Linked DNA regions of Canis lupus familiaris. The protein of the gene in region 2 interacts with the protein of the main gene of each other region in a biochemical or structural test. Links are inferred from orthologs where the notes say so. Each region holds a gene or a part of one and is shown on either strand. Other genes may lie near its edges.

Region 1 (4,181 bases), on a different chromosome or scaffold from region 2:
TATCCCCAATGTGCGCAAGGCCATCACCCTTCATGGGCCCCTGGACCACAGCCCTCGTGGCACAAGGTCCACCTGTGAGGCTTTTAAAACCCTCAGCAAGAGCTGGGCCCAGGCCAGACTCTCTGTATTTACAAAGGGGCCAAGACGTGAGTCATCTTTCAAAGGGCCCCAGGCCATTTGGTTCTCAGAGTGGGGGATCGTCAGGAGAAAGTCACAGGCTAGCGGCCCTCAAAGGAGAAGCAGATACAGAAAGACCACCGCCTTCGCAGTGACCTGAACTCCACAGCCACCCAGGGCTTCCGCTGGGTGTCTCGGCTTCACATATCCCAAGCTGACTGAGCACAGAAGGGCCAACTGCGGCAGCATGGCCAGAAGAGTTCCCCTGAAAACTCCTGTCCACCCCGAACCTGCTCAGGTGACCTTATTTGGAATGAGGGTCTTTGCAGATGTGATGGAGTTAAGAGAAGATCATGCTGGATACGGGTGGGCCCTATACTCAGGGACTGGGGTCCTTCTTACAAGAGAGAGTTTGGGACAGACACACGCAGAGAAATCCACGTAAAGACAAGAAGGCAGAGGCTGGAGTGACGTGTCCACAAGCCAAGGAAAGCCAAGGATGGCGGCAGCCAGCAGGAGCGGGGAGAGAGACACCCGGAGCAGATTCTGCCTCGGGGTGTCCGGGAGGAGCCCATCCTGCCAACACCTTGACTTTGGACTTCGGGCCGCCTCAGCTGTGACAGAGACAACCGCTGTTGTTTTGAGGCTCCCCCGTTAGCGGATTCAGTGCAGCGCACAGGGATCTCACAGCCGGGGCTCTGCTGTGCAAGTCTGGTGTCAGCAGCCCGACTGGGCCTCTGAGCTGGGACGGGGTCAAAGTTTAGGCTCCTTAGTGATTTGGATGCGAAGAAATGGGACACACGTGTCAGGAGATCCAGACGGAGTGAGAGGAACGCACACAGCAAGAAGGAACCTGAAGGCTCGCTGAAGCTCCTCGACCCTGACCCTTTGCTGCCCTGGTTTACTGGGCAGGCCAGGAAGCGGCTGGAAATTCTTCCAGCAGCTGAAGAGTGTGAGGTGGACCCGAGGCCCTGCCCCTTCCTGCAGGCTCCTGCGAACCAAGCCCAAGCGCCTCACGAGGTTCCTTCTGGGCCTTGAGACCATCCCGCCCTACAGCTTCATGGGCAGGAGCCTGGCCGTGTCTCAGCAAAGGGGCCCGGTCAGGCCCAGATGCCCAGCGGACACCCCAGGGGAAGGCCAATGTGCATCGCCCTCAAACCTGCTGGGCAAGCCAAGTTGGGGAGCCAGCCTTACTTAGTCCCCTGCCTCGGGGTTTACGGAAAACTCCTCTGCAAGCACCCACGCCAAGATGGCCGGAGCCATGTGATGCCCACAGGTAAGAACACCTGAGGTCTTCCTGGGCCAAGCGGCAGGTCAATGGGGCCAACTGGGGTGTGGCCAGGGGCCGTGGGGAGCTCAGGAGGGCATGGCCGACAACAGGAGGAACCCAGGGACCCAGGCTCTGAGTCTGCACAGGTGAGGGCAGCCAGCCTCACTGCATCTGGCCTGGCAACCGGACGCTCTGCTGGCTGAGGCTTAGAAGCACAACATAAACCTGTTGAGAAGCCAATTGTGGGGGGGGGGGGGGCAGTGACCCCCCTGCTGTGCATCTGTCCTTGTGGCTAGACTTGCCCTGGGAAATCCCGGCTGACCCTCACCAGGGCAGCTGGAGGCCCGGACGGAAACCTCTGGGGTCCTGGGGCCCAGCTGGTCCCTCCCATTTCTGCCACCTTCTCCCCCACTTGTCTCCGGCCCCTGTGAGGATCCAGGATCGGAACAAATAACGGGCTCCTCCTGCCTCCCGGGCTCACCCCCACCTTTGAGGGGCAAGGGTGCAGAGCATGAGAGACATTTTCCGAGGGTCCTACGCGGCCACGCAGCCCCACTTGGCCCCAAGTCTCCAGTGTGCGGGGATGTCCTGAGAAAGCGGTCCGGCAGCGAGCCTCTCGCGGACCCTCCTCCCACCGGGCCTGGCCGCAGGGCCCCCCTCCGGGCCAGGGGCTCCGGCTGCCCCTCGGGGCTGCCCCTGCGGCCCGGGGAGCCTGGGCAGAGCCGGGAAGCTCCCCTCTCCGCCCCAGCCGAAGCCAAGGTGAGCCCGAGCCGGGCTGGAGGGCTGGAGGGAGAGGCCGGGGCTGAGCGGCCAGCCCTTCCCCTCCCAGCCCCGGGGCGGAGCCCAGCTCCCGCTCGGCCGCGAAAGTTTCTCGGGGTCCCCGTCCTCCCGCGCCCGGGCCAGGGCCAGGCCTGCCCCGCCGCGCCGCGTCCCCTCTCTCCCCGCCCCCCCGCCCCCCGCGCTGGCATCCCCGGGCCCTGCGCCTGCCAAGCCCGGTCCGCTCCCTGGCTCCCTGGCTCCCTTCTTGGGGCTGGGGCTGGGGCTGGGGCTGCGGAGGAATTTCGGTGGAATTTTGAGGTTGAGAAGCATCTCGGCGAGAGGCGAAGAAAGGGAGACGCGCGGGGGAAAGAGAAAGTGCGATCCTGGCGTCCACTTGCAGGATTCCGGGAGGCCCGAGGCCGGCGTCCGGGCGTGGGCCCCGGCGGGCGGGCGGGCGGGGCGCGCGGGGGGCGCGGGGGCGCGGGCGGGGGCGGGCGGGGGCGGGCGGGGGCGCGTGCTCACCTACGTCCGCGTTGCAGAACGCCTGTTGCGGGTGCACCGGGGAGCAGCTGCAGGCGTCGGCCGGGCGCGGCAGCGTCGCCAGCAGCAGGAGGCCGAGCGCCAGGCGCAGGCTGCGGGCCGCGGCGCCCATGGCGGGCGGGGCGGGGGCGGGGGCGGGGGCGCGGGCGCGGGGCTCGGCCGCCGCGGGTGTGCGGGCGCTGGCCTCGGGGCGCGCCGGGGCCGCCCTCCGCACCGGGCCCGCGCTCGCCCGCGCTAACTCTCCCGGGTCGCTGGGGCGCGGGGCGCTGGGCGCGGCGGGGGCGGCGGCGGCGGCGGGGGCGGCGGGGGCGGCGGCGGCGGGGGCGGCGGGGGCGGCGGGCACCGGGGCCTGCGCTGCCTTCTACGGATGCGTGCGCTGCGGGCGCGGGCCGGGCCGGCCTTTTATCGCGCTCCGGGGCGTGTCGGCTCCGCCCCCCGGTGGCCGGCGGCCAATGCGACTCCGGGAGCTCCCGGCCGCCCCCTCCCCGCGCCCCCGCCCTCCCCCGGACGCCGCTTTGTTGTGCGCGGACCCGCCGACCGTCCGGGGCCCAGCGCCGCGCACCTGGCCCCGCAGCGCCCCGGCCCCCGCCCCCGCCCCCGCCCCCGCCCCCGCCCCTCGCAGGTCGCCCGGGGGCGGGGCGGCGCCCAGGGGGCCCTCGCCCAGCGCCCGGGACTCGCAGCCCACCCCCCCACCCCCGGGGGCCCCTTCCCCTCCCCCCTTCCCTTCCCCCTCCCGTTCCCTCCCCCTTACCCCCTCCCCTTCCCCCTCCCCCTTCCCTTCTCTTCCCCTTCCCCTTCCTTCCCTTTCCCCCTCCCCCCTTCCCCTTCCCCCTTCCCTTCCACTTCCCTTCCGCTTTCCCTTCTCTTCCCTTCCCTTCCCCTTTCCCCTTCCCCTTCGCCTTCCCCTTCCCCTTCCCCTTCCCCTTCCCCTTCGCCTTCCCCTTCCCCTCCAGCTTGGCACAGGAGCCAGACACTTCCCACCCCTGGGGGTCCCTGAACTGGGGCCTGGTGCGCTTCAAGGAGGGACCCCTGCCCACCAGTGCCCCTGGGGTGGGGTGGGGGGGCTAGGTGGCCTGGGGAAGCTTCCTGGAGATTCCTTTTATAAATGGAGGTCTTAGAATTTTAAGTGCGCTTGGCCAGTTCAGACGGAGGGGGAGGGGGAGTGGTTACTATGAACAAAACAGGATTTTATATAAACTGGCCATATTTTTGACCAGCCAACAAGAGCGGGGGGGGTGGGCCTAGGAGTCCAGGAGGCGGTGCGATTGGAGGGAAGCATTTGCTGGGCTCTGCTCACACAGTTCTGCTTTAGCCCACGAATGTGGGACTGAGGACTTCCGCCCCCCAAAACAGTTCTGTGTTCCCAGAAAGGCCGGATCTCCCAGGTGCAGAAAAGCCTGTGAAGTGTGGCTACCATGCGCCTGTCACCGAGGCTGCCCTGGGCCCCCCTGTGCTCGGTGCTCTTATACACAGGACCCTGCTCTTGCCCACAGGA
Region 2 (3,742 bases):
CCCCCAAACACGACAAATTTAGCCGAACTGCCAGCACCGTTCATCCCCCCCCCACCCCCCTGCCCCTGACATCCCTCCTCTCACTGCCCCTATAGGGTCTCACTCTCCCAAGTCTTCCGGTACCATGACCACCTGTAGCGGCCAGAGGAGACTTTGAATGGGTGGGTTGGGTGGGGGAGAGGAGGCAGGACAGGGCAGAGCTGAGGGGTGGGGGCATTAGGAAGTGAGGGGCTCACCTGACGATAGACCCACCCAGGCAGCTGCCCCCTCCCCGAAACCAGCTGAGGCTGCCCATCAGCGTGCTGCCAGCCCCTGGTCACCTCCCTAACCAGGTGGCCACCCTCACGAAGGTCCCCAGTCGCCAGTCCCTGGATGTGTGTCATCTCTGCTCTTTTCACTGGACTCCCCACCCTTCCAATGCACCTACTCTGGTGAGAGGAAGGGCACCAAAGTGGAGTAGGTGTGCCTTTCTCCAGCCCTTCCTCAGAGCTCCAGTAAAACATGCCCTCCTCTGGGGCCCACAGCCCACCTTGTGGTGTCCCTGCTGGCCTGGCCTGCCGAGCCACTCGGCCCTCCATGCGCACAGCACCTCCCCGGTTAGCCTTTTGGTCCTGTCCTATCCCCTTCTGACTGCCCCTTGGTCCCCATCCCAGCTGCCTACATTTGAGCAAGATTCTTTTTCTGTGGCCTTGAGGCTCACCCCCAGGGCTCCTGACAGGCTCTCTCCTTGGCCCCACCCTACCCCAGTAGCGGCAGCCTCGGCTGACATTTGCAGGGGCGGTGGGCATCAAGGGTTTCTACAGCCCCTTAATGGCTCAGGCTTCTTCTGGGGAAGCTCTGGGGGCCAGGTGGGGCAGAGGCAGGTCTCTGCAGAGGCGCTGACTCTGAGCTTTCCTCCCAAGGTTTCAGGGTAACTGTGCAGACCTCCCCCACCCCTCCTACTCTCTCAGGGTCTCCCCCCTCAACAAGATTAGATTCCTTTAGCCAGAAAGGGTGGTAGGAGGTTGCCAATGGGGTGCACCTGGGGGCTTGCAGGGCTGGAGTGCCCAGAGCCTCCTGAGGTCAGAGTTCAGAGGTTAAAGTTACATCAGGGAATAGAAAAGGAGCAGATGACCCCATTTGACCTTTGCCAGCGAGGTCTGAGGGTCCTGCCTTCAAGTGCAGAACCAAGACATTCAGATGGGGCAGGACACACACCAAGCTACAGAGGCCCCTAGGGGATAGGGGCTGGAAGGGGCGGCCCCTGATCAGCCCCCCAGGGACCCATCTAGGGAAGAAGCAATGCCAGGGTTGAGGTCAAAAGAGAGGCAATCATGGGACAGAAAAGAAGGGAGGAAGGGTTGGGAGGGGACTTGGGACCAGGTGGGAGCAGCCCACCCACCACCACCTGCTGCCACTGGCCTTCAGAGGCAAAGTCCTCGTGGTATGAGTGGGCGGGCAGCCGTGGGGGTCAGACCTTGTCCAGCAGGGAGCGCTGGCAATAGAGCAGTCGTTTAGGGGTCCCATGGCGTCTGAAGAAGAAGACGGCAAGGCCCACTGCCAGCACCAGGAGCAGCAGCAGCACAGGCAGGACTACAGCAGCTGCGCTTACGGCCCCACTGCCTTCTTCGTCCACCTCGATGATGATCACCTCCGTTTCCTCCTCAGTCCCCTCATCTGGCCGGCTCCCCGATGAGGGGCAGCCCATCCAGTCCCGCAGGGCTGACTTGGGGTAGCCTGGCTCTACCTTCAGCTTCTGGTTGTTGAATTTCCAGTATTTGTTCCCCTTGTAGAAGTAAGTGAAGACTGCAGCGGTCAGCAAGAAGGGGGCCAGGAGGATAAGAGGTGGGGGCCGCGTCCAGAACACCCACAGAGAGGAGAACAGAAGGGAAATCTGTGAGTCTGTGAGTCGAGCAGGTGGAGTTAATCCCCTAACATCAGTCTCCTCAGCTATAAACCCGGGTAATTCTAAATTACCGGGGCTGAAAGTGCAGTGGGGATTGGGGATCTGATGTGAGGAGAGCACTTGGCTCAGAGCCTGGCATGTGGCAAGGGTTCCAGAGCTCTCATCATCACTGCTTTCCCCAGATCCCCTCAGTCTCTTCCCGTTCTTAGTTCTTAATCCCTTTTCCCCATCCTCCCTTAAGGACATCTCCCTTGCCCCTCACCTTCATCACTGCCCATGAATGACCCTCTGGGAGACTCAGGGATTCCTTCCCAGACCTTGATGTTTTTGGGGTACTCGCTGTCCACTGCCCTGAGTTCCTCGTTGAAACGGTAGTACCTGGGGGAAGGGGGGAGGCAAATGGTCGGGCCCTGGGCATGTCCTCAGAGCATGGCAGGGCCCAGGACTGAATTTACCAGTGAGCAAAGAGTGGCTATGGACAGGGTGCAGGGCAGGGGTTTTGTGTAATGAGGGCCTGCAGCTGAAAGTGGCGGAAGGTGGGGGTGGATGGGAGGTCCCAGGCTGCAAGGAGCCACCAGTAACCTTTAATGACAGTGCCTGGCAGCTGGGGTGGAGGCACGGTGCTGGGGGCAGGAGGCGCCAAATGACCAGGTCTGAAACGGTGACCCGGTCACTTCCCACTCAGCGCCTCACGGAGGCTGGCTGTTGCTGGGCAACGGCAGAGGATCAACCAGCAACTTCTCCAGGGAACTGTCCTGGGGTAAGTGGGTCTTTCTCCAGAGTTGAGGGAACGTGGTGGTGGCAGTGTCCGAGGAGGGAGGCCTGGGGTCAAGGGCTGACATCTCACTTGTTTCCCCGGAAGAAGTAGGTCTTTCCATTGGGCATCCAGAAGAGAGCAGCATCGATTTTGTCAGTAGGCAGTCCTCGGCCCAGCTCCTTGATGTGCTTGGGGTAGCCAGGTTCCAGAGAAGCTTCATCAAACACCCAGTGCTTGTCTCCTGGAGAGGAGAGAGAAGGGCGGGACCTGGGTTCCACTTGGGCTCTTGGGTCTCTGGAGGAGTCCAGTGAAATCCACTCCTGCAGGGAGACTCTCCTTACACCAGAGGACTAAGGTAGAAAGCTGGTTACCTTTGAAGAAGACAAACTTGCCATCCTTCCTCTCGTAGGCAGTGTTGATGGATGCAGGCAGGCCCCGCCAGAACTGGCCGATGGGCATTGGGTATCCATCCATCACTTGGTTATTCCTTACCCTCCAGAACCAGCGCTCCTAGAAAGTAGCAGGGTGGGGATAGTACATTACGTCTTATAGCTAGTCCTCTGGCTTAGTCCCCAAAGCGTCCCACTAACCCTCCTGCTGCTATTTCCACCCAGCCTGCTGGGCTTAGAGCCCTCTTGTTCCTCCAACCAGCCCACTTCTTCCTCTCACCTTGAAGACAAACATCTCCCCTCGGAGCACCGCCACAGTGTCAAAGTTCCCATCACAGATGTTGGGCCCGTAGGTGGGGTTTTTGGGCTTATCAGGGACAGAGGGCCTGGAGGTAGTCCTGGGCTGAGGAGGCATCTTAGTGGGGGACCCTGACTCACTCCCTGATGTAGAGAACACAAGAGACACTTCAGACTTTGTGGCAGAGGGGGAGGAAAGAACAGATATATGGGCAGACAATACTGTTGGAAAAGTGTGGATGGCCCTTTGGGGAAGGATGAAGCAATCAGGTGGGAAAGGACAGAAAAGGTGAAATCAAAAGTGGGAGAAGAATAAGACATATGGAAGAAATAGTGTAAAAAAAAAGAAAAAGTGGGAGTGGGTGGTGGGTGGAGGCAAAGTCAGGTAGGGTTGTGGGGGAGACTATAGGGCAT
Region 3 (4,023 bases), on a different chromosome or scaffold from region 2:
TGACAGCCCATAAATCGGTAGGGAGAAATCGTAATCATAGTACTGGCCGCTGGCACCACCAATTAATGCCAAGAGTAGAGTAAACACACCTAGATTCATTTTTGGCAAATGCTTTGAATCCTAAATAAAGTGGAAACATATTACACAATAGCATATTTTCAGGAAAAGGATATTGGCTTTGCAATGTTAAATGCATTAGCAAATGTGTACTTTATTATTTTCTAGTACTTTTTTAGAGCCTCTAATGAAGTCCTTCTAACTTTAATAAGTATCACAAGAAGGATGTGTGGGTACAACTTCTGGTGTGGTGAACAGGGTTCAGGTCAGACTGCATACACATGCGCCCCCTTCTGGGCAAGTCAGGCCCAATTGTCCAGTCAATCTCTCTAGGTCTTTCTGTAATTAAATGCCTTCCTACAACAGGTTTCTGGGTGGTGCGCACTGGCCACCATGTTAGTACACTGCTTCGGAGCATCCTTCAAAACTGGACGAATGAAAATGAAAAGACGACTGTAAACTGCACCCTGTACCCCACCATTCACCATCATTAAAATGTCTCTTTAAGAAGACCCTTATGGGAAACATGGGCAATCTATGGTTTTGCCTGGAGGAAAGCTGTTCTTATGTATGTGTGTGTGAGAGGGGGCACATTCCTTTAAAAATGTCTGGATATTGTTGGTTCTGAGGTGGAGGAACGGAATTCTTGGTGGGGTGGGTGTGTGCCTATTATTTTGACTTTCTTTAGCATCCCAGATGTTTAGGCACACTACACAACTGTGTTCCAAAATTAATATTTAGTACATTAGTTTTAGAAAGTACTTTTTACTAATCAGGGAAATGTCACAGATTCTGAAAAAAAAAAAAACAAAAAACAAAAAACAAAACAAAACAAAACTTAAACCTATAATGAGATCCAGCTGGTAAAGAAATATATTATTTTCAAGTTTTGAATTAAGGTTTTCCTTTCTCAATAACTCACAAGTTCTCTGCCTTCTTCATGCCACAATTTAAGAAGGCATGGCTCACTTAGCTGGATTTTAGTGCCCTCACAGCATGGAAGAGGGAAAGAGGTGGAATTAAGGACAGTCTGCATTTAACAGTGGCATTAGGAACCATGTAGGAAAGGACAAAATTGAGAGTATAATTAAAAATGGGTTGTAACAGTGATCTTCATATGAACATGTTTCTTAAGTAAGGCTCAATAAAATACGTTTCAATAGCTTGGGGGAAGTACAGGGTTAGCAATTTAGGTAGAAATTTGGACTTTTGTAGAGTGGAGAGTTATGGCTGTGGTGGGGGGGGTAGGGGGTAACTCTGGGAGGGAAATCACAATGTGAGGCAGGATCCACATTCCACTAGCTACCATAAAATAATATATCTTCTTTTGAGAAATAGGGTACAAGCCTTGGTGTCTAGGAGGTTTGGGATAAATAGGATTTTTTGCCATTAGAAATGGAGTTTTCTTTGCTTCTATTTGAAATTATAAGCACTTTATTTTAGCAGATGAAACCCTCAAAAAATTGTTAGAATCACTATGATAACTGACATAATGTAACATGCAGCCGGATCCTTGGCAAATTATTCCCTAAGACAAGGATGGCGTCATTTAATTTAGTTGACAGGACTTGGCCATGAGAACAATTACATAGTGTTAATGTAATTATAGGTTATAATTTATAAGCTATAATATGTTAATGTTGTAAAGATTTGTCTTGCTTCATTAAAATCTTCCACCTTATTTTAAATTGAGTATACACTAACCTAGTCATGGTCACTATAATATGAGTATTGAATTATGATGAAAAAAATGCTTCCATACTTTCTGGCAAAGGAAAAACAAGGGCTCTAAATTCAAAGAGAGTTTGTGACCATATAATGACTCCACTATGAAGCAAAAGAGCACTTTGCTTTCTCCCAGTTTTTTCCAAATACCTGTGGCTATGGAGGAAATGCTTTTCTCAAAAAGTAAATCGTCTTTCCCAGAATTTCTTTAAAACATGCTTTTTTTTCCCCCTCAAGACATACATCCAGAAAATAAATTGATAAAATTAACAAAACAGAAATAAGTAATTCCTAAGTGTCTGAGTTCTTTAGCTCACATTTTATAATAACATGTTTACTGTAAATTGTAACAAGTTACAACACATTTATCGCAGAATATTTTTGAATACTACTGGAAATGGCCCTCCTTGGCTCCAAAATTAGGTTCTAACAATACTAACATATATACCTAATTAGCATAAAATAACAAACCTTTTAATTGCCAAACTTCTTTACTATGTCTCGTTTAAATACTTTCTCATTGCATTTCTGAAGCTTTGTATATAGCTTCCTTTGCCAAGCAATGCAGTGTATACCTTATAAAATTTATCTCACATCCATAAATCATGGAAAGCAGGTTTAGCAAAATGTGAAAGTAAAGTCTCAAAACTGTGGATTTGCTGTTGAATAGCAACTGGCAAAGTTGCTCTGGAATTTTTTCTGTTCCTATTACAATAAACACTGTCCCAAACATTCAGCATCCCCAGTGCTATAGTTAAAACAGCACTTACCTTCTGTCTTGACACTGCTTTCGTTAATTCTTAAAGCAGATGCACTATGGACAAGAATCCACCAATATATGCTGTGAACTCTGTCAGGACGGAACTGGCTGCCAGATTCTTAGTGATACAAGAGCTGAAGGGGGGGAAACCCAGCCCAGTCACGCCAGTCTCTGCATGGAGTTATGTCACTGTGGGGATCTTGTGGGGTGGCATGTGAGCATTCTGCTCTCTAACGAAGTGCAGGTGGACGTGGGGAGGAAGGACTGCCCAGCTCATTCCCTATGGAATGGGAGAGAGATTCATGCTTAACTAGTCCAAATACTCTAGCTTTTAACCAAGAATGGAGTCCTGCTGCAAAGGAAGACCTCCACTGTGGGAGCATTTCTCTGGCAAAGAAAGCTCTTTCCCTCTGTAGCTGGGGCAACATGAGGTGCTATTCTCTCATTCAACTCTCAGGTTTATCTAAATGTCTCCTGAATCATACACAGAACAAAGAATTTCAGGAAAATGCAAATGGGTCCTCAGAGCAATTGAATCTTTTCTGGCTCATTCCTCTTGAAGTTTATACTGATTTACTGGGACTACCTTAATTCGGGGGCAGGGAGGTGACTTAATGTCAATTGCCAAAATATGAAAAAATGCTTCGTTCACATTCTGACATAAAAGGTAAATATCAACATTTCCAGTCTATTTCTCATGTTAAGGGGATTCATTTTATGCGATTCAGATCTGGAATCAATCAGCAATGTCCTGCCTGTTTCTTATTTTGTGGATTTAATTTAGGAATTCATCCAAAACCTTACTTGGGGATGGTATTCTATAGCTTAATGCCAAAAAACATAAAAGAACATGAAAAAAATGTACACTAAAAATATCACAAGGCAGTAATCTTTCACTCTCTCGTTGCATGCTAGCAATATTTTGTTTTTCCAAAACTAGAAGTTATGCAAAGTTGTAATCTCCCAAAGGCCTGGTTTGATATGTCTTTAATTGTTAGTTCCTGATGCATGCTTTTTGCAAATGAAGGATATACTCAATTCTTGTCTGTTTCATGTTGTGATTGTATCAGCTGTATTTATAGGATTTACTTTTCCTCCAAAATTCTCCTTGTGTTTACAGGAACTCTTAGAATCAGATATTTTAGCATAAATTGCCACAATGTAAGATTTTTCCATTCTAAAATAACTTAAATATGTCATTTTTAGTTATGAGACCTGTGGAAAGTTAATTTTCCTGACCACTAATGCATTTGCCTGAAAAATTAATATTAGAATAAGTGCCTTTTTTTTTGGTCATGGAGCTGTTAAAAAAACAAAAGATAATCTTGAAAATAACTCATAGAATTGTAAAGTGAGTCATAGCATAATATTTCATTACTATTATTTTAAGAACATTATAGAAAGGCCTCAGTTTTATAACAAAGTGAATAAACTTAGAAGAAATCAGAAAAAAAAGACAAATAGACCAATTTCAAATAATT

The links. The genes of interacting proteins can lie anywhere in the genome.
Region 1: the proteins of MMP14 (region 2) and TIMP2 form a complex in vitro, tested with the Homo sapiens proteins (2 studies listed by BioGRID). The link is inferred for Canis lupus familiaris from reciprocal best matches to the Homo sapiens genes MMP14 and TIMP2.
Region 3: the proteins of MMP14 (region 2) and LUM interact in a biophysical measurement, tested with the Homo sapiens proteins (2 studies listed by BioGRID and IntAct, with this or other methods). The link is inferred for Canis lupus familiaris from reciprocal best matches to the Homo sapiens genes MMP14 and LUM.

Annotation. Positions count from the first base shown.
Region 1 is NC_049230.1:3,368,297-3,372,477, reverse strand, and holds the start of TIMP2 (metalloproteinase inhibitor 2 precursor), read right to left. Parts: upstream 2,801-4,181; 5' UTR 2,799-2,800; coding exon 2,669-2,798; intron 1-2,668. UniProt on the Homo sapiens protein: Complexes with metalloproteinases (such as collagenases) and irreversibly inactivates them by binding to their catalytic zinc cofactor. Known to act on MMP-1, MMP-2, MMP-3, MMP-7, MMP-8, MMP-9, MMP-10, MMP-13, MMP-14, MMP-15, MMP-16 and MMP-19.
Region 2 is NC_049229.1:3,313,169-3,316,910, reverse strand, and holds part of MMP14 (matrix metalloproteinase-14), read right to left. Parts: intron 3,473-3,742; coding exon 3,312-3,472; intron 3,153-3,311; coding exon 3,014-3,152; intron 2,884-3,013; coding exon 2,733-2,883; intron 2,264-2,732; coding exon 2,148-2,263; intron 1,786-2,147; coding exon 1,451-1,785; 3' UTR 1-1,450.
Region 3 is NC_049236.1:32,103,359-32,107,381, forward strand, and holds the start of LUM (lumican), read right to left. Parts: upstream 2,801-4,023; 5' UTR 2,553-2,800; intron 121-2,552; 5' UTR 100-120; coding exon 1-99.